Macaca fascicularis: one gene and its partners. The protein of the gene in region 1 purifies or fractionates together with the protein of each later gene. This does not show direct contact. Links are inferred from orthologs where the notes say so. Each region holds a gene or a part of one and is shown in the gene's direction. Other genes may lie near its edges.

Region 1 (7,118 bases):
ATTTCCAGAGTTAAAAAGTACAGGCTGGAGTGCAGTGGTGTAACCATAATTCTTCAATGACTCTTATTTCTAAAATCTCCCTGTTAGATTTTTGAGTGGCTTGCCATTTGCCCCACCTGGGACTGTAACCTCAGGTAAGCACAGCTGTGGGTTTGCCCTGTTCATTTCCATATGAGTTTGTCACTTTTAGTTGGCAAAGCCTTGGGTTTTTGACCACCCACCACAAATTAAGTCCATCCCTTGGGCAACAAAGCTGCTAGTTTTCTTGGCTGTTCCTACCCACACTGGCAAAACTGCAGTTCTGGTGCAACAGGGTGGGAGAGAAGCAGCCTCAGGTCAGAAGGCCACAGATATCCACTGTTCCTGCTAGAAGTTCTAGCTGTTTTTGAAGCACAGATGTTTCTCAAATTGTTTTCTGTATTTGTTTGATATCCAGTGCTCTGAAATGGTTGTTTTTGCCAATTTATCCAGTTTTATACTGGTTTTGTGTGCAGAGAATTGCTGACTATGCCACACAGCCATAGCTGAAAGTCCCTTGCAAAGTTTTTTTACGTAGGAACCTGTATTAGTTAGGACCTTTCAGTGTCATATAAAAGAAATCCAACTGATTTAGTTAGGACTTTTAGAATTTTAATATGAACTGGCTTAAACAATACAGGAAATTTGTGGTTCACAATTCTGGATAGTCTGTAAGATGGCCTTGCTCACAATCCCGAATAGTCTATAGGATAGTCCATATAATCAAACAGGTGAGGTTTGACACTGCAGCTCAAACCATGCCACCAAACACAAGGTTCTTCTCCATCTTTCCCGCGTTCATTTGACAGTACTGACTTCAACCCTAGGCTCTACATGTTGCCTTCCCTCTAAACTCTCATCCTTCTAGGGTTTCCCCTTATAGGAGGAAAACGGTTGCCACATTTCCAGGCGTCATATACTTACACCATGCTAGAGAAGCAAGGAAGCTACCGTTTACTGGAAGTTCCAGCCCAAGTCTTTGTGGGTTCATTGTTTCTGACTGGGCTTGTGACCATCTCTGCTGCTAGAGGGAATGGTTACGTTGCCTGGCTTAAATGGGAGGAATAAATGCTCAGGTGGCAGCCAACAAATATATTCTATATCCACACACATTGGTTCCAAATAATAAATCAATCAATCAGTGGGCCCACTTACTTAGGCTCACGTGCTCACAGCACTTAAAAAGCTGCACAAACCATGCCTCCAAATGAAACCACGGTCTACATTCTGCCAGCTCTTTCTCCCTTTCCATTTCCCCTTTCTTCTCTTTCCCACCCTCACGTTTGGCTAGGCCACTCGGTTGCAAGAAACACGTCCATCAGCAATTGCCTCAGTAGAAAACTCCCTCTGCCCCCCTCTTGCGTCCATATAGCAATTTCAGGCAAGGCCTCCATAAGGCCCAGCGTGGATCAATGCCTGTCCCTTGGCCGAATCAGTGCTGTCACAGGCAAAGAATTGTCACTGCCATGCTCACCTGCCCAACCCACTGGTCAGAGAAGACTGTTGTATTGCGAAACGGGCCATGAGAAGGCTTTTCCGAAAGTCAAAGACCAATGGCTATGTGAGACCATGCCGTATCCACTTGTGGGAGGCCCCTAAATGAATGTAAGGCCCCAGGGGTTGAACTTTACTGGGTAGGAAGCGCAGAGTACTAGAGACAGATTTACCGCCCGCTTTGAGGAAAGCTGATGTGGGAGCAGAGAGCAAGATGGACAGCAGCTGCCAATCTAAATAGGCAACGAGGAGCCACAGAGAGTGCTGCACGTAGGAATGCCAGGGACAGGGAAGGGTCGTCTATTCCAAGTCCCACCTCTCCCCTCATAAACTGCCACATTTCAGAAAACACGAAGACTGCTGAAGCCCTGTTTCCAGCCTTCGCTATGCATTAGCAGAGCAACTCAACAAGCCTGGGTGAAAGGCTTCTCGAAGAAATTCAGTTATCTCTACTGCCAGCCAAACACGGGCTGGGCTGCTCGGTAACTGCTGAGCCGGGGGCGCGCTGGAGCCCCGCAGAAGCCCACACCCGCTTCAGGAATTCCGTGGATGTTCCCGACAGAGGTTTATTCCCGCCTCTCCCTACAGGCCTACGGCGCTCCTTCCTCCAACCCCACACCCAGTCGAAGGCGGGGCAGCAGCCCCACCCAGGGGCAGGCCGGGCGGCCCCCAGGCCGGTTTAACTGGTTGGAACGACGAAAGCACGCTGGCGCAAGGAAAGTTCTCAACTTCGGGAGCTGAGGCGCAGGCTGGCCAGAGCGTGGAGAGGGAAGCTCTCTCCATCCTCTGGGCCGTTGCAGGACATGCCCACGAGACACCTTTGCCAGCACCACACCGGGGTAAGTGTCCGTCCCCGCATCCCGCAAGGCCAGCGACTGCGCAGGCGCCTGCAGAGCACTGGCGCTCGGCGCGTTCTCTCGCCGCCTTCTTTAGTCTCCTCAGCGAGCCTGGGGACGAAGGAGGCGCGGTGCCTCCTGGGTGTTGTAGTTTGCTTCCTTGGCAAAAGGCCTTCTGGCTAGTTGGATGCCGGGGCCTCGGGAACTACGCCTCCCAGCGCGACCCGCGCGAGAGCACAGGGCGCCTGCCCTTGACGGCTTCAGCCGTCTGAGCGGAGAGGAGGATCCGGGAAGCCGGCTGCGGCGGGAGGAGGGAATGCGCGTGCGCGCTAGACCGGCTCGTCCTGTTCCGTCCCAATCATTGTAAACAGGCGGAGGCTGGGCGGGGTGGGAATGGGGCGCCCGAGGCCGGCCTGGGGCGCAGCGCAGGAGGCGGCTCCGGTGGCTGCGGCGGCAGAGTGAGCGCGAGGAGGCGGAGGCTGCGGCGGGGCGGGCGGTCGCGCGGCGGCAGGCACAGGTCAGTCCCAGGGAGCGGTCGCGTGCGAGGGTCGCGGCGATGCCCCTGGAGTGCCCGAGGAGCCCTCTCCCGCGCCGGCCTCGCGCCTGCGTCTGTCAGGCAGCGTGTGGGGCTCGGTGCTCGCAGCCCTCGGGTTTGAAGTTGGGGGCGGGGGGCGTGGCTGCCCCCTCGTCGGTTTCTCCCGGGAAACCTTCGCCCCAGTTTTCACCCCCCTGGCCGTGCGTCCCTCCCACTGGCCGACGGGCCTCCCTTCGTGGCGTCCGCGTTTGTGGTGCTCTCGGGGGCCAGGCGTGGAGAGTTAGGAGTCCCCAGGCCTCGGGGAAGCTCTTGGGGGGCGCCTGGACAGAGGTGAGGGGATCCAGCCCTCACGGTTGGATCGTGCCCGGCATAGTGGCCAGGCTCCGGGGCTTACCCAGGGGACCAGGACAGGCTCCTGGTGTCGCCCGCCGCTGGCACTGAGCAGTGGGCGCCTTTGGTGCTGCGGTCCTTCCTTCAGGTTTCCGTGGGAATGGACGGACAGATCTGGATGGAGTTGAGATTTCTTTTCACAACTCATGTTCAACTATGTGTGTTGCCAAAATGCTCTTAAATGAAGTCAGTTTTCTCCCTCTTTTTAAAAACCTGATCGTTGTGAGAGTGAAACAGGTTTTACGGAATATTTCACACCTGCGTCTTCCCTGAAGTAATTCTGCTGCTTCAACTTTTGGGATTCAGTATTACAAAGCCTTCCTCTTGAGCAAGGCCTAGTACAGTTCTTCAAGGTCCCTAGCATGTTAGTTCGAGGTGTTTTGAACGTGCATGTACAGGAAGTGCAGCCGTTTGGCCGTTGAGTTAGTGCACCATCCAGCCTTGTTAGAAAAGCTTTCGCTGAATTTTTTATTTAGTGGAGTGGTCGTGTCCTAAGGCTGCAGTACTTTGGGGAGTATTGCATCATACTTGGCAGTTATTCACGAAATACTGAATATGTGATAAGGTTTGTTTTGGTGCTCGGCACTTCTAAATGAATAAGTGGGACTGTGAGTAAGAAAGATCACCTCACTTTCTGTTTTTAGAGTTATTTTGGTGATTTGATAACTCCTTTCTGTCTTTGTGAAGGTAATTACTGTTAAGCTGGAGTGGCAGTAGTAGGGGTAGGAAGGTCAGTAGAGTGGTTCCCACTTCTCATTCAAAGTATCTGGTGGATCCAAGTGGAGTAGATTAGTTAACAGTAGCATTGTTTTTTATTTCTTATTTTTTGAGACGGAGTTTCGCTCTTGTTACCCAGGTTGGAGTGCAATGGCATGATCTCAGCTCATCACAACCTCCGCCTCCCAGGTTCAAACGATTCTGCAGCCTCAGCCTCCCGAGGGGATTACAGGCATGCACCATCACGCCTGGCTAATTTTATATTTTTAGTAGAGACAGATTTTCTCCATGTTGGTCAGGCTGGTCTTGAACTCCCGACCTCAGGTGATCTGCCCGCCTAGGCCTCCCAAAGCGCTGGGATTACAGGCGTGCGCCACCGCACCCGCCCAACAGTAGCTTTTGAGAAGTAACTCTTTTTTTTTTTTTTTTTTGAGACGGAGTCTCGCTGTGTCTCCCAGGCTGGAGTGCAGTGGCGTGATCTCACTGCAAGCTCCGCCTCCCGGGTTCACGCCATTCTCCCGCCTCAGCCTCCCAAGTAGCTGAGACTACAGGCGCCCACCACCACGCCCGGCTAGTTTTTTGTATTTTTAGTAGAGACGGGGTTTCACCATGTTAGCCAGGATAGTCTCGATCTCCTGACCTCGTGATCCACCCGCCTCGGCCTCCCAAAGTGCTGGGATTACAGGCTTGAGCCACCGCGCCCGGCGGAGAAGTAACTCTTTAAACAAGGTATCTCGAAACAATGTAATACAATGTAATACAACTTAGTTTGCTATCTCTTCAAAATATTGTTTCTTTTTTTTTTTTTTTTTGAGACGGAGTCTCGCTCTGTCACCCAGGCTGGAGTGCGGTGGCCGGATCTCAGCTCACTGCAAGCTCCGCCTCCCGGGTTCACGCCATTCTCCTGCCTCAGCCTCCCGAGTAGCTGGGACTACCGGCGCCCGCCACCTCGCCCGGCTAGTTTTTTTTTTTGTATTTTTTAGTAGAGACGGGGTTTCACCGTGTTAGCCAGGATGGTCTCGATCTCCTGACCTCGTGATCCGCCCGTCTCGGCCTCCCAAAGTGCTGGGATTACAGGCGTGAGCCACCGCGCCCGGCCCCAAAATATTGTTTCTAATTATAGATCTTATTGGGACTATTTCTCCCCTAATTTAGAATAGGAAAGTGTTATCAGAAAGTGCATAATAACCTTAATTTGCACAGTTATATTTGCATAGTTGTTTGCTTGGCAAGAAGAGATCGGGCCCAGAATTAACCCAAAAGAATATTATTTCTGTTTTGAAAGATCCCTGATAGCAACTTATGTTAGTTTATATAAGAGTATACAAGGAAAAATGCGGATTATTTAGAATACAGGAATTACTATGTAGAAAGTACTGCGACCAGGTGAAGAGGACTTAAAGATACACACGGCAATGTTCCTGCCTTCAGGGGAGTTGAACCTTATCTCTTTCTTTCACTGTCGACTAGTACAAGATTGTTTTGATTGAAGAACGTATGCAGGTACAGTGGATGTACAAAGGAGATAGTGGTCAGTTTCTTAAGGAGATAGTGGCCAGTTTCTTAAAGTGAAGAAAAGGAGAGCTGAAGAAGAGGAAAACTGTAAGGAAGAAAAACTATGTAGAAGGTGATGAAAATAAGAAGTGTACAGGCGTAGAAAGAATGGGCATTTAGGTAGGAGCAGTGTGAGAAAAAGCATGGGAGTCTAAAATTACAGAATAGCATCTGCAAAAATAGCAAGTGTAATACAGGGTGGTGGCAAGACCTGAAACTGGGGAGATAGGCAGAGACCAAATTATGGATCTTGCAGACCATCAAAGTCATTACAATTTTATCTTATAAGCAAATAGGAGTCATTGAGAGGACAAAGAAGAGACCTAAGCTAGCTAAGCCCATTTTTAACCCTCTGCTATATAGGTCAGGCACTGCATTAGGTACTGTATATTTTATGTCCTTAAGCTTAAATAAGGCTTAGTCATGACTGATGCAGAAATTGCGGGGCTGGGGCAGGGGTGGGGAAGGAACTTTTAGAGGGAAAGGTGGACAGAAACGTAGGTGAGAAGGAACATGGAACACTTTTTTTCCAATACAAACACCATCACTCGGTTTTATTGGTTTTGTTATATTAACCTCTGAAGTAGGCGATTATTGGTGTGAACATACATTTTAAAAAACATATGGAGTCAAGAGTACAAGAATGTCAACTCAGTGCAAGTACTGTTGGTGAGCATTATGTCCTGAGGATGAAATCGGAGGACCAACAGGCCCAGGAGGCTTCACAACCAACACCGCCCAAAAGGACAGCAGACCAGGCTTCAGAGCGGAACCGCCTTCTCCATGTAAACTTTTGACGTAAACTTTATGCTTCAGGATGGCCTCTTCTGCTCCGAGAGCCTCTCCTTCCGCGTCCCAAGTTTGGGAATGGCCCGGCGGGGCTCAGGCCCAGGTGGTGGAGGCCCCGGTGTGGCAGCCCCGTGCTGTCCATGATCCCAGGAGTCGAGTTCAGAAGCCCCTGCTGCGGTGGGTTGGCGGCTTCGCCGTAGCCGAGCTAGTCTTCCAATGGAAACTCAGTAAAAAAAGAGTCGGCGCCATCCGCCTGAGCGCGGGTTTCCTCCTGAGCTAGGGGCTCGGCTGCCTCAGGCGCAGAAGGGTGTGCTGCCGGCCTCGGTCAGGGCGAGCAGCTCCCTGGGGGCGCCCGCAGCCGGGGTGTCCTGGGGCGCAGCAGGTGGAAAGGCGCGGGCCAGGGGTGCAGTCAGCACAGAATATGGAAGAGAATGGGAAGTTGTTTTCTGTAACTGTAGCATTAGTTGTGGTGATAAGTAGCAGAAGATGAGGTTGCACAGATCCTCAAAAGTATTGCATGCCGTTCCAAGGACCTTACTATTTCTTCCTGTAGATAATAATAGGGTTTGTGTATTTTAATGAAAAAGGAGACATTATATGATTTTTATTTTATTTTTTTACTTTTTTGAGATAAGGTCTCACTGTGTCACCCAGGCTGAAATGAAGTGGCACTCACCGCCCTCCATCATGGCTCACTGCAGCCTCGACTTCCCGGGCTCCCGCGATCCTCCCACCTCAGCTTCATGAGTAGCTGGGACCACAGGTGAAGGCCACCACACCTGGCT
Region 2 (7,145 bases), on another chromosome or scaffold:
TCAGTTTAATACATTCCCATTTGCTTATTTTTGTTTTTTTGGCCTGTGCTTTCAAGGTCTTAGCCATAAAATCCTTGTCCAGACCAATGTCCTGAAGCATTTCCCCAGTGTTTTCTTCCAGTAGTTTTACAGTTTTAGGTCTTATAATTAAGTTTTTAATACATCTTCAGTTGATTTTTGTATATGCTGAGAGAGAGAGAGAAAGGTCTTGTTTTATTCTTCTGCTTATGGATAGCTGGTTTTCCCAGCACCATTTATTGTAAAGACTGTCCTTTCCCAATGTATTTTCTTGGTGGTTTGTTGGAGGTCAGTTGGCTGTAAATGTGTGGGTTTATTTCTGGGTTCTCCAGTCTGTTCTATTGGTTTATGTATCTCTTTTTATGTCAGTACCATGCTGTTTTGGTTACCATAGCTTTGTAGTATATTTTGAAGTCAGGTAGTGTGATGCCTCCAGCTTTGTTCTTTTTGCTCAGGATTGCTTTGGCTATTCAGGTTCTTTTGTGGTTTTATACAATTTTTAGGATTTTTTTTTCTATTTTTGTGAAGAATGTCACTGGTATTTTGATAGTGATCACAGTGAATATATAGATTTCTTTGGGTAGTATGGTTATTTTAATAATATTAATTATTCCAATCCATGAGCATGGGATGCCTTTCCATGTTTTTATGTCCTCTTCAATTTTTTAAATCAATGTTTTGTAGCTTTCTTTGTAGTAAAATATATTTTTTATTAGTGCTTAACCCTAGACTGATGTTTTCTTTTGGGTTAGTGTTTCCCAGTGAGGCTTCATGCATATATTTCTGCAGGTCTTCCCAGGAAAAATGACATTTAAAAAGATAATTTTTGGAAAAGAGATGCAGATATGTGGACCTGATGCTGGAACTTCCAGTGCAATGGTGGGACAGACTTTTTTTTTTTTCCAGTGGCTTCTTTTCTGGTCTCTCTCTCTCTCTCTCTTTAGACAGAGTCTCGCTCTGTTGCCCAGGCTGGAGTGCAGTGGTGTGATCTTGGCTCACTGCAACCTCCATCTCTCAGGTTCAAGTGATTCTCCTGCCTCAGCCTCCCAAGTAGCTGGGATTGCAGGCACTCACCACCATGGCCCAGCTAGTTTTTGTATTTTTAGTAGAGGTGAGATTCCACCATGTTGGCCAGGCTGATCTCGAACTCCTGGACTCAGGTGATCTGCCTGCCTTGGCCTTCCAAAGTGCTGGGATTACGGGCATGAGCCACCGCACCCGGCCTGGACTTTCTTTTAAAAGTGGCTAGAGGGCTCAAGTGGCTCAAGCCTGTAATCCCAGCACTTTGGGAGGCCGAGGTGGGGGGTGTGTGGATCACCTGAGGTCAGGAGTTCGAGACCAGCCTAACAAACATGGTGAAACCCCGTCTCTACTAAAAATACAAAAACTAGCCAGTCATGGTGGCAGGCACCTGTAATTCCAGCTACTCGGGAGGCTGAGACAGAATAATTGCTTGAACCCGGGAGGTGGAGGTTGCAGTGAGCCAAGACTGTGCCATTGAACTATAGCCTGGGCAACAAGACTGAAACTCCATCTCAAAAAAAAAAAAAAAAAAGGCTAGAGTACTAGCCAGGGGGAAGCAAGCACATTTGAAAAATACAGTGTGTATGCTTTAGGATAGGGAGGAATGGAGAGAGAGGAGGACATGGACAGGGATGGAAAGATGTGGGTTCTCGCATTGATTTTTGGCGTGAGCTTGAAAAAGTTTTGTACTTAAAAAAAAATTCCTGTTTTACTACCAAAATAAGTGCTTCCTGTGGAGAGTGAGGATCCTCTGTTACTGAGGTTTGTATTTTCAGGCCCTAGCATATAAATCTGCTACATACGAGATATTCAACTAGTTTTGAAGGAATGAAGGTGAACATGGCAGTTTCCTCATATGTAAAAGCAGGATTTGGACAAAATGATCTGCAAAATGGGTCTTTTACTACTCTAGTATTTACGAGTAACCGATGTTATTCCTTATGAAGTCTCAACTCCTGGTTTGAGCCATGTCTGAAGAGGTGGCCTAACTCCAATACCCACTGAACAGTTTGGCGTCAGTGGGACCCTGTTTGTACAGACGTCTGTGTCTTCCAGCTGTTTAGGACATAAGCACTACTGCTATGGAAGAAAGGAAACCTAATTTCCCATGCCTTGTCCGTTTTCTGGAAAGGGCATGGCGTGGTGTGGGCACCACACTTGCCCCAGCCTTCTGGCGAAAAAACACCACGACCTTCCCCGCTCCCCGAAAAGAGCTTTTCTCCAGTTGGGTCTAGATGCGCCCTTCCCAACCAGGGCGGATGGCCAAAGACTCCGCTCCCTTGCAGGGTAGGCTTGGAAAGGCACGGGGCTCGCCTTCCTGGGCAGCGGAGCAGGTGACGCGCGGAGGGCAGGCAGCGCGCTGGGTTAGTTACCTGGCGCTGGGCGGGGCAGGCGGGAGGCGGGGGCGGGGCCGCGGTGAGATATCAGGCTGTGATTGGGCCGCTCCGCGCCTGTCTCCATGTGCCGCGCAGCTGAGGCACAACATTCAAGCCCGGGGGCGGGGCCGGCGCGCGCCGGGAGGAAGCGGCCGCGCGGCAGCTGCGGGGCGTGGGGGTGGCGGCGGCGTCGGCTGAGGCCGAGGAGCCGGTGGCTGTGGCGGACGCAGCGGCACCCCAGCTAGGGACAGGGCTCCGCCGCGCCCCCTTGCTGGTCCCATGGAGGCGGCAGCGGCGGCGGCGGCGGGTGGGGGCTGTGGCTCCGGGCCGCCACCGCTGCTGCTGAGCGAGGGCGAGCAGCAGTGCTACTCCGAGCTCTTCGCGCGCTGTGCCGGCGCCGCGGGCGGGGGCCCCGGGTCTGGGCCTCCCGAGGCCGCCAGAGTCGCCCCCGGCACGGCCACTGCAGCCGCCGGCCCAGTGGCTGACCTGTTTCGGGCGTCGCAGCTGCCAGCCGAGACGCTGCACCAGGTGGGTCCCTCCGCCTCTTGTCCCTGCGGGTCTGTGGGGCAGTGTCTGCGGGGGCGGAGGTTGCGAGTGGGGCGACAGGGCTGCCCCCAGGGACCCGGAGGCCTCGGCCAGTTGTCAGAGAACTCTGCAGCCGGGGATAGCGGCGACGCCCTTGTACCCGGGGGACACCAGCCTCCTCCGCAGCTCAGCTCCTCGCCCAGTCAGTGCTGGGTGCGCGCTCCCCATCTTCCTTCCCTGAGACTGTCTGACATTCCCTCCCCTCCCCCGGCCATTTCTGGGGTTCTGCAGCCGCCCAGACCCAAAGTTTGCCCTGTTCTGGAAGTGGTGTTTGTTTTGGCTGCTGCCTGGTTTAACCTCTGCTCGCTGCTCCTGCCCCTCCCTCTCCTGAGTGGGCTGTCAGGGTGCCTTGCTGGGATTTGAACCTGAGGGGTGTGTGTGTCTGTAGGGTTGGAGGCCCAGGGCTGAATGTTGTCCTCTGTATGTAGTTGTGATATATACGTATCTACAATATGTAATTGCCCATAACATATTTCTAAATATTAATATTAAATCAAAAACCTTAATGACAAGTTGCAGAACAGGGACACGGGACTGCAAGAGGACGTTTGTCAAGTCAAAACCAAATTTCCCATTTGAGGCTAGAGGTGGACTTCAGAAGTCCACCATGGGAAACAGCTGTAGTTTCCCATCTATCATTACTTGGACTTGAAATAGAATTGAAAGGTAAGGGGTGTCATAGCTACCACCTTTTGACTGTTCTATACTTGGAAAAGGACTAGGGGATGATACATACCAGACGCTGTGTTTGTTTTGTGCTTTCCTTGGAGCTTGGAGAAAGACTAATTGATAAGCCTTTGTCTGTCATTTCATGTCACCAGCACTTCATGGTGATAAGATTGTTAATATCAGGTTCAAAACGTCAAATGAAGCTTTCCTTAAAAGCAATAGTATGAATGTTATTAACACCAATGGAATATTTAGAGTGGTGAGTGGTATTTTAAAATCTAGTTTCAAAGGAGAACTGAGGGTTTTATGGTTCACTTGCAATGTCATTGTGTTCATACGTATTTTTAAAGAAATTACTTAAGACTGCGTTTTATATTGCTAGAGTGTTTGTACTGCCCTGTGTTTGTGAGCGTAACTTTAAACACTTTGTAATCTTTCACCCTTTTGAATTTGGGATTTCTGAAAATATAATTAGTATTCACAGAACTTAGCATGGCTGTTTGTCCCTAAAAAAGTCCTTGATATACAGACAGTTCTGCCATTGCTGACGAGTAGTTGAGCTGGATCAGGTAAAGAGAAAATCAGTGTCTTAAAACACAAACCATGACTATTACTTGAGGCCCTCAGAATACTCCCGAGCATAACACATTTATTCAATGCTGTAACTGCTTCCCAGCTGAAAGAGGAATAATTGACTGAGGCTATGCAGCAAGTAAGTGACAGCTGGGTACCTATTAAGGCTTATTTTGTTGTCAGTAATGCATCGGATAAGAGGAGGTGGGCATAGTAAATCTGAATATGTTGGTCGATGCCTCCTTAGGAACTGGGAAGAAGGATTTCCTGATGTTAGAACCCATGCTTTCTTGAGGTACATATGGTTTTAAAAGGACCCAAGGCACAGTGCCTGTGCGTGAATGAGATTATATTTTTGATGTCCAGTTGAAATCTGCTTGCAAAAGACTGCTTCAGATACTGGCCAAAGGGGACATCCCTACAGTATTGCTTGGAGTAAATCTCTCAGAGCTTGAAGCTCCCTTATTCAGCCTAGCAAAGCAAAACACATCATCCCCCTTCAATCCAACAAAATTACCATAACTCATTATTCTTGGTACAGGTGAAAATGAACACTGAAGGCATCCCGGACATGTAATCCTAAGAGAGTCAAACAAAGTCAGCAACCAGCAGACCCCTAATTTTCACCCATCACTTTGGTGGTGGTGGTGGTGTGTGTATGCTCCATCCACTTTAATTTGTATTACCCCATCGGTGTATTAGCCATTCTTTAAAACAAACATAGATGTTTTTATCCTTTCCCTGTTAAACAGGAACCTGTAAGTTGAGATTTAAGTGCCCCGACAGGTATAACTGCTCAAATCTTGGAGGCACTAACCAGCCCTGGTATTTTCTATGGTAACAACCAGGTTTTCCTCTTAATAAGCGTACAATTAAGATTACCATAATAATGTTCCAGGAAGAATGAGAATCTTGCAGTCTTACCACAAGTAAATGGTCTATAAAAATATTTATTTATTATTTATTTATTTTTTGAGATGGAGTCTCATTCTTTTGCCCAGGCTGGAGTGCGGTGATGTGATCTCAGCTCACTGCAACCTCCGCCTCCCCGGTTCAAGCGATTCTTCTGCCTCAGCCTCCCGAGTAGCTGGGACTACAGGCGCATGCCACCACGCCTGGCTAATTTTTACATTTTTGGTAGAGACAGCCGTTTGCCGTGTTGGCCAGGCTAGTCTCGAACTCCTGACTTCAGGTGATCCATCCACCTTGACCTCCCAAAGTACTGTGATTACAGGCGTGAGCCATCGTGTCCGGCCTTAACATATTTTTTAATAGGCTATTTTTTTTTTTCAGAGCAGTTTTAGGTTCACAGCAAAATTTAGCAGAGTACCCATATATCCCCTGCCCTGACACACCAGTAGCTTTCCCCACTCTCAACATCCGGCACCAGAATAATAGAGTTTTTACAATCAGTGAACCTACATTGACACATCATTATTCCCCAAAGTCTATATATTAGGGCTCACTCTTGGTGTTGTACATTCTGTGGGTTTGGACAAATGTATAATGACATGGATCTACCATTGTAGTATCATACAGAATAGTTTCACTGCTCTAAAAATCTGTGCTCTATCGATTCATCCCTCCCTCTCCACTAACATGTGGCAATCACTGATTTTTTTTTTAACTGTCTCCATAGTTTTGCCTTTTTTTTTTTTTTTTTTTTGAGACAGAGTCTTGCTCTGTCGCCCAGGCTGGAGTGCAGTGGCGGATCTCAGCTCACTGCAAGCTCCGCCTCCTGGGTTCACGCCATTCTCCTGCCTCAGCCTCCCGAGTAGCTGGGACTACAGGCGCCCGCCACCTCGCCCGGCTAGTTTTTTGTATTTTTTTTTAGTAGAGACGGGGTTTCACCGTGTTAGCCAGGATGGTCTTGATCTTGTGACCTCGTGATCCGCCCGTCTCGGCCTCCCAAAGTGCTGGGATTACAGGCTTGAGCCACCGCGCCCGGCCAGTTTTGCTTTTTTAAGAATGTCATATAGTTGGAGTCATACAGTATGTAGACTTTTCACATTGGCTTCTTTCATGTAGTAATATGCACTTAAGATTCCTCCATGTCTTTTTATGGTTTGGTGGCTCATTTCTTTATAGTGCTGAATAATATTCCATTGTCTGGATGTACTACAGTTTCACCTACTGAAGGATATCTTGGTTGCTTCCAAGTCTGGGCAATTATGGATAGACCTGTTATAAACATCTGTATGTAGGCTTTTTTGTTACATGCAAGATATAAGCTTTTGACTCATTTGGGTAAATAGCAAGGGGGCATGATTGCTAGATTGTGTGGTAAGAGTATATTTAGTTTTATAAGAAACTGCCAGACTGCCTTCCAAAGTGGTTGTACCATTTTGCATTCCCATCAGCAATGAATTGGTCTCTTTACAGAGTATTTATTTTCCTTTGCTGACTTATTTTAACAGCAGGATTCCAGCATTAGGTGGAAAACATATGAGTTTCTGATGTGTGTCAGGTACTATCCTAGGTGCTGAGGTTATAATAGTGAATCCAACATAATCTCTGTCTTCATGGAGCTTATGTTCCCATGCAAATGTTTTTACACTTCAGAGTTTTTATTTGGTTGAGAAAAGACTTGAAATATAATATCCAAAAATAAAATGTCAGCCTGGTGCCGTGGCACACGCCTGTAGTCCCGGTGCTTTGGGAGGCCAAGGATGGGAGGATTGCTTGAGGCCAGGACTTTGAGATCAGCCTGGGTAACATAGTGAGACCCTGTCTCTACACAAAATAAAATAGCCGGGCACGGTAGCATGCGCTGGTAGTCCTAGCTACTCTGGAGGCTGAGGCAGGAGAATTGCTTGAGCCTGGGAGTTCAAGGTTATAGGGAGCTATGATCGCACCATTGCTCTCCAGCCTAGGCAACAGAGCAAAACCCTGTATCAAAAT
Region 3 (7,388 bases), on another chromosome or scaffold:
ACTTTCTTTTCCCACTCCCTTTGAATATTTACCCATAGCATCTTCCACACCTAGTTCAAAACACATCTAGGATACTTCAAATCAATTTTTCCACCTTAATCAGATAGCTCTGTTTTGTGTCACATTTAAAGTAAATTATTTACTTTATTTAAGTACTGCTAAGAACACACTCTATGTAAACTATTATACTGGATGCCCAAGGAGATAAGTGGAAGACGGTTCTCTGGCTTTGAGGTGTTTGGTTGAGGCAGCAATATACATTAAAAGTTGAATAGGAATGCAAAGCAGGGTGGGACAAATTCTACAGAAAGTGTGATAGTTTTGAGATTATAGTGGTTGATCTGTTCATTATTTTGTACTCAGGAACTAAAAAATTACTAAGAGTTGTAAGAGCTCTGGTTTTATAACTGAGATAATAAGCCCAGTGACACAAGTGGTCTAAGGTCCCAGCTATGACATGGCAGAGGTTTCCTGTCTCCTGGTCCTATGCTGCTTGTGCATAGGTTCCTAACTATTCACTAGTCTTTTAATCAGTTAATGTTTGCTCTAAGTAGACAGTTTAGTATAGCTAGGTAAGAACTGGGCTCTGAAGCTAAAATGTTTGGGTTTGAATCCTGGCTTTGCTATTTACTGTGTGACTTTGGGTAAGTCACTAATCTCTTTGCTTTACTTACCCACCTATAAAATGAGTATAATAGTAGTACTTTACTTCATAGGGTGCCTTTGAGCATTATATACTTAATATATGTAAAGCAAGAAAAACTGTGGATTTGTTATTATAATTGCTATTTGTCTGTGAGGGAATGGAGGACAAGCAATCTAGTCATCTGATTTTTGTTTTTTAAACCTCTTCCCTCAGCTTCTGATCAAAGCATTCATGTGGGTGTTCAATAAATGCATGTTAGCTACCTTAAGCGTGTTGGGAGTTTTTGTATCACTGAAGTAAGACTTGAGATTTGTGTAAGCCTGGACTAGTCTGGTAACAAGAAAGTCTAGAAAGGTAAAAACTGAGCATCAGATTGATTTTAGGACCTAGCAGAGCTTCTTTTAAAAAAAGTCAAGACAAATAAGTGCTGAGAAAAATGGGGGTCAATGAGTCTAATTCAAAAAGAGCTTTCTCATCTATTTTAAGGTCTGTTTCAAACTTCCTTAGACAAAAATCTGGCCTTTTAAGGAAAGTGCAGAGAACATGCCTTCGTGGGCTTAGTTTGAGGGAATAGGTGCTGCATTTCACCCTGGAGGTGGCTTCGTGAATTTGTGAACTGGGGTGACAACACAGACTCTCTCCAGAAGAAAAGATGCTATCTCTACACGGAGTTTAATTACAATGGCACTACTTTAAACAAGGAGCAGCAGCAGCAGCAGCAGCAGCAGCACCAAACGCCACTGTTAGCCCAGTCAGAGCTCAGCTCCGTATTCAGAATGGAGAAAGCAAGAACCATTTTTTTCCCTGGGGCACCCTTCTCTACTCAAATACCGCTGAAAAAAATTCTGAGACAAGCACTAGGGAGTGGGAAGAGCGGGCGGAAATGAACAATAACCCATATTCAGGGGTTAGAAAAATCATATCAGTAAATCATGGCAGGTTTTTTTGTTTGTTTTTGGCAGGAACTTGCCACTCTTCAGCATCATCCATCAGGAAATCTAGGGTCGGAAAAGTGTACCAACTGGCTTTCCAAATTTTCTGCATTTGGCAGATGCAAATCACAGAGTCCATCCCCACCCTCAGCACTTGGACGGTATCAGGGAAACATAAGTATCAGTGGAAGAATCTTGAAGTGAGAAATAAATAACTGGTCAGGTTAGGGTTAGTGTTCTTGTGTGCAAGGGGGCTAGTGAAGGTCAGGCTTTGGGACGCACCCACAGCGTCAGCAAAGGAGGAAAAATTAAGGGGCAGCATGGGCTGAAAAGCCCCCGAGTTTGAGGTCAAGCCAACGGGCTGGGCCTCTGGTATCCTAGGATCTGCCTTGCACACAACCTTTGGCCGTTTCTCGGTTTGAATCTCGCCTGTACACTTTCAGACGAGACACTGTCTTACTGAGCGTTCTCACAGCGCCTAGCTCAGAGCTGACCGCAGAGCCGGCTCTCAATAACCTCTAGACGCAAAAGCAGCTTTTGAGGTTAGGGGCGAAGGGCATCGGTTTTACTTATTTTAAGGCTGGCGCTCCGGTGCAGCCGGATCCAACTGCCAGCACAATGTTCCCGATCACTTCTCGCTTCCATTTCAGCCCAGGTGACGTCGGGAAACCCACAGGACCCACTAGGGTCTAAGCGGTTAAGCTGGCGTCCTTCGGATGTCAGTCTCGATCCGTTCGGAAACCACAAAATCCAGAATCCCTTGTGCCAGGAGGCCAGGCCGCAAATAAGATGGCTCCAGAAGAGTGGAACATACAGCGGCGGGGAACCTAGTCGTTGGCAGTTTCTTCACGGGATGTGTTTAAATTGCCGAGTCCCCATATACGCGCCACCCCACAAACCTCCTTCCAGGCCGTGGAGGCCACGGCTGCGCCTCGCCCGCTCCTCCAGGAGCATGCTGGGATTTGTAGTCCAGTCGCCGGACTGCGCCTAGCTACCTTTCCCAGCTTGCCCTGCGGCTCGGGTGATATCAACAGTCTTTTCCAGAACTCTGTCTGCACTGAGACCCCCTTCGCCCGGTCCTCTTCTCGCCGTCTACTCCTTCCCATCTGTGGCGACAGAGCGGCGGTTGCAGGAGAGGCCCCGGTCCCTCGCCGCGCCGCCCCAAGCGGCACTTCCGGCGGCGGTTCACTTCCTGGTTGGGTGGATGGAGCCGGGCGGGAGCGCGCGCGGGGGAGGGGCGGCGGGTCAGTCTCCGCCCGGCGCTCCCGGGATCAGCTGGCGGGCGGGCTGGAGCCGAGCGCGGCCCCGGCTCTCGCTGCAGCGCCGCCTCCTCTCTGCGTCGCAGGCCGGCCCGGCGGCCGTGACAATGTCGCGGGGCTGGTAGCTGGGCGCCGGCCGCCGAGCCGTCTCAAGTGGGTGCTGCCAGGATGCTGCCTCGAGGGGCGGCGGGGAGACCCGGGAGGAGCGGGAGGCAGTGCCCGGGAGGGTCGGCGCTGCCCCAGCAGCTCGGATCCCTCCTTTTTCCGAGCTCCCGGCTCGGGGATCCCGGGTTCTGGGGCCGGGGTCGCGTTTTCAGCCCCAGGGTTTTTCTCGCCAGGAAAATATATGAAGCGTTTCCCCAGGATGATGGCTTTTGCTCCACCTAGGACTCAGCGGTTGAATTTTTAAGTGTGTTACTGATTCATCCTCTCTCTCTTCCTCTGTCATCACAGGTTTAAACTTACACGAATCGCTTTCTGGAGGAGGAGGGGACCCGCCGCGCGATTGACACGCATATTCCTATAGGCATCCTCCCTCAGCCCCCACCCCCACGGCCGGATTCGGGTGGCTCCTCTCCGAGCTGAAATCCGAGAAGAAATCCTTGGATCTCTTTTCTTAAAAAAAAAAAAAAAAAAAAAATCTAGAAACCATCGGTATTTTGCTTTGCTGCTCCCTATTCGCAAGATGAAGAAGTTTTTCGACTCCCGGCGAGAGCAGGGCGGCTCTGGCCTGGGCTCCGGCTCTAGCGGAGGAGGGGGCAGCACCTCGGGCCTGGGCAGTGGCTACATCGGAAGAGTCTTTGGCATCGGGCGACAGCAGGTCACAGTGGACGAGGTGTTGGCGGAAGGTACGGTGTGGCTCAATGCGCCGTAAATTAAAATCTTGTGCTGATGCGGCAGTACTGTGGTTTCTAGTTGTTGCATGTATGAATGGGCTTTGACCAGTTGACCCTCCCTTCCCCCTCCACTTGCCCTGTGAGTCATTGTCCTTGAGAGATTTAAAATTGAGATTTGAAAGTGACTGGGCTTATGGGGGTGTGGGGAGGTTGCCGAAATTGTTTACGTTAGTGGCCTTTTATTTTTATTTTTTTAATATTGAGAAGCCAAATTTTGAGGATCACACAAGAAAATGTATGTGTGAAAGTGTAAAGCTTTATGCCAAAGGCAGGGTGATGGGCTTGTCATCCTCCTAAAACTTAAAATCTTGATGTGAAGGCTGAAGGGTGTGGATGGGGGGACTTTTAAGAAGAGAGGGGTTTCTCCGTCTCCTACCCAACTTTCCTACTTCCATGAGCAGGCATTGGAAGGAAGGGAGGATTTTCGGAGAATGTGAACGTGTTTTTCCAAGGGCCAAGGCTCTTGGTGGATTTCACTAGTAGGTTTGTTTCCTGACCCAACTGTAATCGGGTCCCCAGGATATAGCAAAGATAACAAAAATTATATAAAACAAATGTGGTTATTCTGAACTCAGTCTAGTAGGCCCCTCTTCCTCTCGCTTTAGTGTTGTTTTTTTTTTTTTTAAACCAAAAGAAAAATTACTTGAGAGTGGCTCTGATTTTGTTTTTTCACTGTCAGAGAGCATGTTATTTAGATCTGCTGTGTAAATTCCTCTGTGTTTCATCTGTGTATCTATACTCACGTAGATATACATCTTTTTTCCTCCAGGCTTTCGGGAAATCTTTGCATGTCTCTTTTGGTAACCTTAACCTCGACCTTCATAATTATGCCAGACTCATACTTTTCACAGCCCATCGCCTGCCTAGTGTGCTTTTATTTTTAATAAAAGCAGCAATTTCCTTGGCATGAAGCAATTCAGACTAATTGGATGGGGCCGACCTGCTGTAGGTTGTGTTATAGACCGAGAGGGGTTGGAGGAAGGGAGAGGTCTCTATTACTGCAACATGGTGGTGGAAGGGAACAGTTTTATTACCGAGGGAAGAGAGAAAGCTAAGAGGCCTCTTTAAAAAGGGGCGTTTTGCAAACTAAAGTTGAAGCAAGGGTCCTGACCTGGGCCTGGGAAATGCTTACCATGGTGGGTGTTGCAGGCTGGTGGGTGGGTTTGGAAGAGGAGGAAACTGTGTTTGGCTCTCAGCTTGTGTAAGCACTGGATTCAGCAGGGCCCAGTTTTCTGGGAATAGAGTTGAAGCCTATACTTTAAAAACACGATTTTTTAAAAAGATGTCTGACAGTTAATGTCCGTGTGAAATTATTGCTCTTCCAATCTCAGTACTGCTCTAGCTGGGCTTTATCTGGGGCCTGAGTCACTGTCCCTTTGGATCTTTCCTGTGGACTTTGGTGCAGGTTGGGAGATGCTTCTGTGCCCGCTGCCAGATCCGCACCTTGAGTCTGATCTGTCTCTTTCATCCCTGTGCCAAAGCCCTTAACTGCAGTGGGGTGGAGAAATGGTGAAAAGGAGAGTGTGTCAGAGAGAAATCAGGAGAAATGAAGGGCCACAGAGCACTTTCCTCCCCTCTGAATGGCCTCTGCTGACCTTATAGCCCACGAGCATTTTGTTCAGCTAGGATGTTGTCTCATCAAGGATGATGCTGCCCTAAGCGGTGCATGTTCTCCAAGTGTGAGAAGAGTGATAGGGAAGAGAAAAGGCAAAATTGGTCTTTGTTACCTAGGCTGCCTTCCTCTTCTCTGGGATTCATCCTTGAGAACTGCGCATCATGTATTGTGATATTTTTACATGGAATTTAGGACTTGCAGCTCTGCATTTATTCATTCAGCAGTTTATGGAGTTGCCTGTGAAGTGCCAGGTGCTGTGCTAGGTTCTGGGATATGCTGTTAAACCAGAGCTGGCCTTTACCAACTGCTTTAAAAGATGGAAAATAGCCAGTTATAGTGGATTGATAAATACCATCATAGAGATAAACTTAGGGTGAAGTGGCCCCCAGTTTTAGGGAGCCCAGGATCATTTTCTGAAGGAAGTGACTGAAGAGTGAGTAGGAGTTAGTGTGGTGGCACTGTGGGCAAAGACGGAGTAGCAAGAGAGAATGTCACGTAAAACTGGGTCTGGCTATGCTGCCCTTTTTGTGTTCTTTGGCTTAAGTTGAGTTTGAATTTGTGGTTCTTAGAAGTATGTAGAAATGTAGGAGCCAGTACACAAAGTATTTATGTAGCACCTACCAAGTCCAAAGACCGTATGAAGTTCTGAGATGAATAAGGGAGGTCTAAAGTGTGATTGAATCTGCCTTTAAGGTTCTGCCAATGAATTTGGGAAGATGAGGCATACATTCACACATACAGTAGCATGGTTACCGGCACTGTCTATAGAGTCAGACAGATCTAGGTTCAAATTCTGGATCTGTTCTTTACTAGCTGTGGAACTGTAGGCAAGACATTCCAAACCACTCTTGAATCTCTGTTTCCCTGTGGCAGTGGTTCTCAAAATGGGGCATCCTTATCACCTGCAAGCTTGTTGGAAATGGAGATTCTCAGGCCTCACTACACAGGCTGTGAGTGTGGGGCTTAATAAGTTCCTGGAGAGATTCTGATGCAAGGTCAACTTTGAGAACCACTGCCTAATGGGCTGGTCATGAAGATTAAATGAGGCAATATATATAATTCACGTTTTCAGGTGTTCAATAAATGGTAGCCATTACCTACCAGCAGCATTATACATCATATGTATATATGTGGAGAGAGAGAGTGTGTGTGTGTATGTGTGTGTGTGTGTTAAAGGGGAGTGGGAGCAATGTGAAAGCTAGTTGAGCTGCAGCAATCTGAAGCAGTTCCTTTCCCCCATTGTTAGGGGATAGAGCCAGATGTTCTTTGCAGAGTCCTCAGCAGCTCCTTAAAGGCTTAACAGATGTTTTGGGTAGCCACGCTCCTTCCCTGCGCCCTCTTCCCTGTGAGTCCCCAAGTGCTGACCTGTCTACAGTCCCAGCCAGAGTGGTTTAAGGACCATGGGAGTTGTACCCTGGGTGCCCAGAGCAGTGGCCAGGCAGTTTAGGGAGGAGTGGTGTGAGAGGCTTCAAAACACAGACCAGATTACCGCCACATTCCACTGATGATCTCTTTTTCTCTAGTGCGGGTATTGGTGTGTGCTTTTTCGTGAGGAATTGCAAGAACCCCAAGGAGCGGGTGCTGGGCAAGACAAAAAGATGCCGCACTGCCATATCTCCCCTGGTATATCAGCCTTCCTGGCCTGGTTTCACTAACTAGTCCAGCAGGGGCTGTTTGGGGGAAGTGAAGGCTTTAAGTTATGAGTTTAGAGGAATATGGCTATTTCTAGGCTGGGTGCCAGGGAGAATATTTTCTTTCTAGCTTTCTCAGCGAAGATGCCATGATGAGATGCTAAATCATGTCTAAGTTAATAGGCATATGATGTCAAGGGAAGATTTGGTTTAAGCTTCCAGAATGAGCTCAATGGGAAAATTGGAGCAATGTTCAAGGAAGGCTTGAGAAGCTGTGCTTTTATCATACTTCCTTAGCTATACGAGGACTTATATCTAAGCTTTAAACAATAAATGTTTATTTATTTATTACTGTATTCAAGACAACATTCTGGAGCTATAAGGTGGACTAGATGGCTCCTCAGAGCAG

What was found. The genes of interacting proteins can lie anywhere in the genome.
Region 2: the proteins of RALBP1 (region 1) and REPS2 purify together in Homo sapiens (affinity purification with mass spectrometry; 3 studies listed by BioGRID and IntAct, counting the BioPlex papers as one, with this or other methods). This does not show direct contact. The link is inferred for Macaca fascicularis from reciprocal best matches to the Homo sapiens genes RALBP1 and REPS2.
Region 3: the proteins of RALBP1 (region 1) and AAK1 purify together in Homo sapiens (affinity purification with mass spectrometry; 3 studies listed by BioGRID and IntAct, counting the BioPlex papers as one, with this or other methods). This does not show direct contact. The link is inferred for Macaca fascicularis from reciprocal best matches to the Homo sapiens genes RALBP1 and AAK1.

The regions. Positions count from the first base shown.
Region 1 is NC_088392.1:77,826,876-77,833,993, forward strand, and holds the start of RALBP1 (ralA-binding protein 1), read left to right. Parts: upstream 1-2,220; 5' UTR 2,221-2,351; intron 2,352-2,689; exon of another isoform or gene 2,690-2,865; intron 2,866-4,129; exon of another isoform or gene 4,130-4,719; intron 4,720-7,118. UniProt on the Homo sapiens protein: Multifunctional protein that functions as a downstream effector of RALA and RALB. As a GTPase-activating protein/GAP can inactivate CDC42 and RAC1 by stimulating their GTPase activity.
Region 2 is NC_088395.1:16,754,841-16,761,985, forward strand, and holds the start of REPS2 (ralBP1-associated Eps domain-containing protein 2), read left to right. Parts: upstream 1-2,582; 5' UTR 2,583-2,696; coding exon 2,697-2,945; intron 2,946-7,145. UniProt on the Homo sapiens protein: Involved in ligand-dependent receptor mediated endocytosis of the EGF and insulin receptors as part of the Ral signaling pathway. By controlling growth factor receptors endocytosis may regulate cell survival.
Region 3 is NC_088387.1:52,310,627-52,318,014, forward strand, and holds the start of AAK1 (AP2-associated protein kinase 1), read left to right. Parts: upstream 1-2,825; 5' UTR 2,826-2,990; intron 2,991-3,290; 5' UTR 3,291-3,522; coding exon 3,523-3,685; intron 3,686-7,388.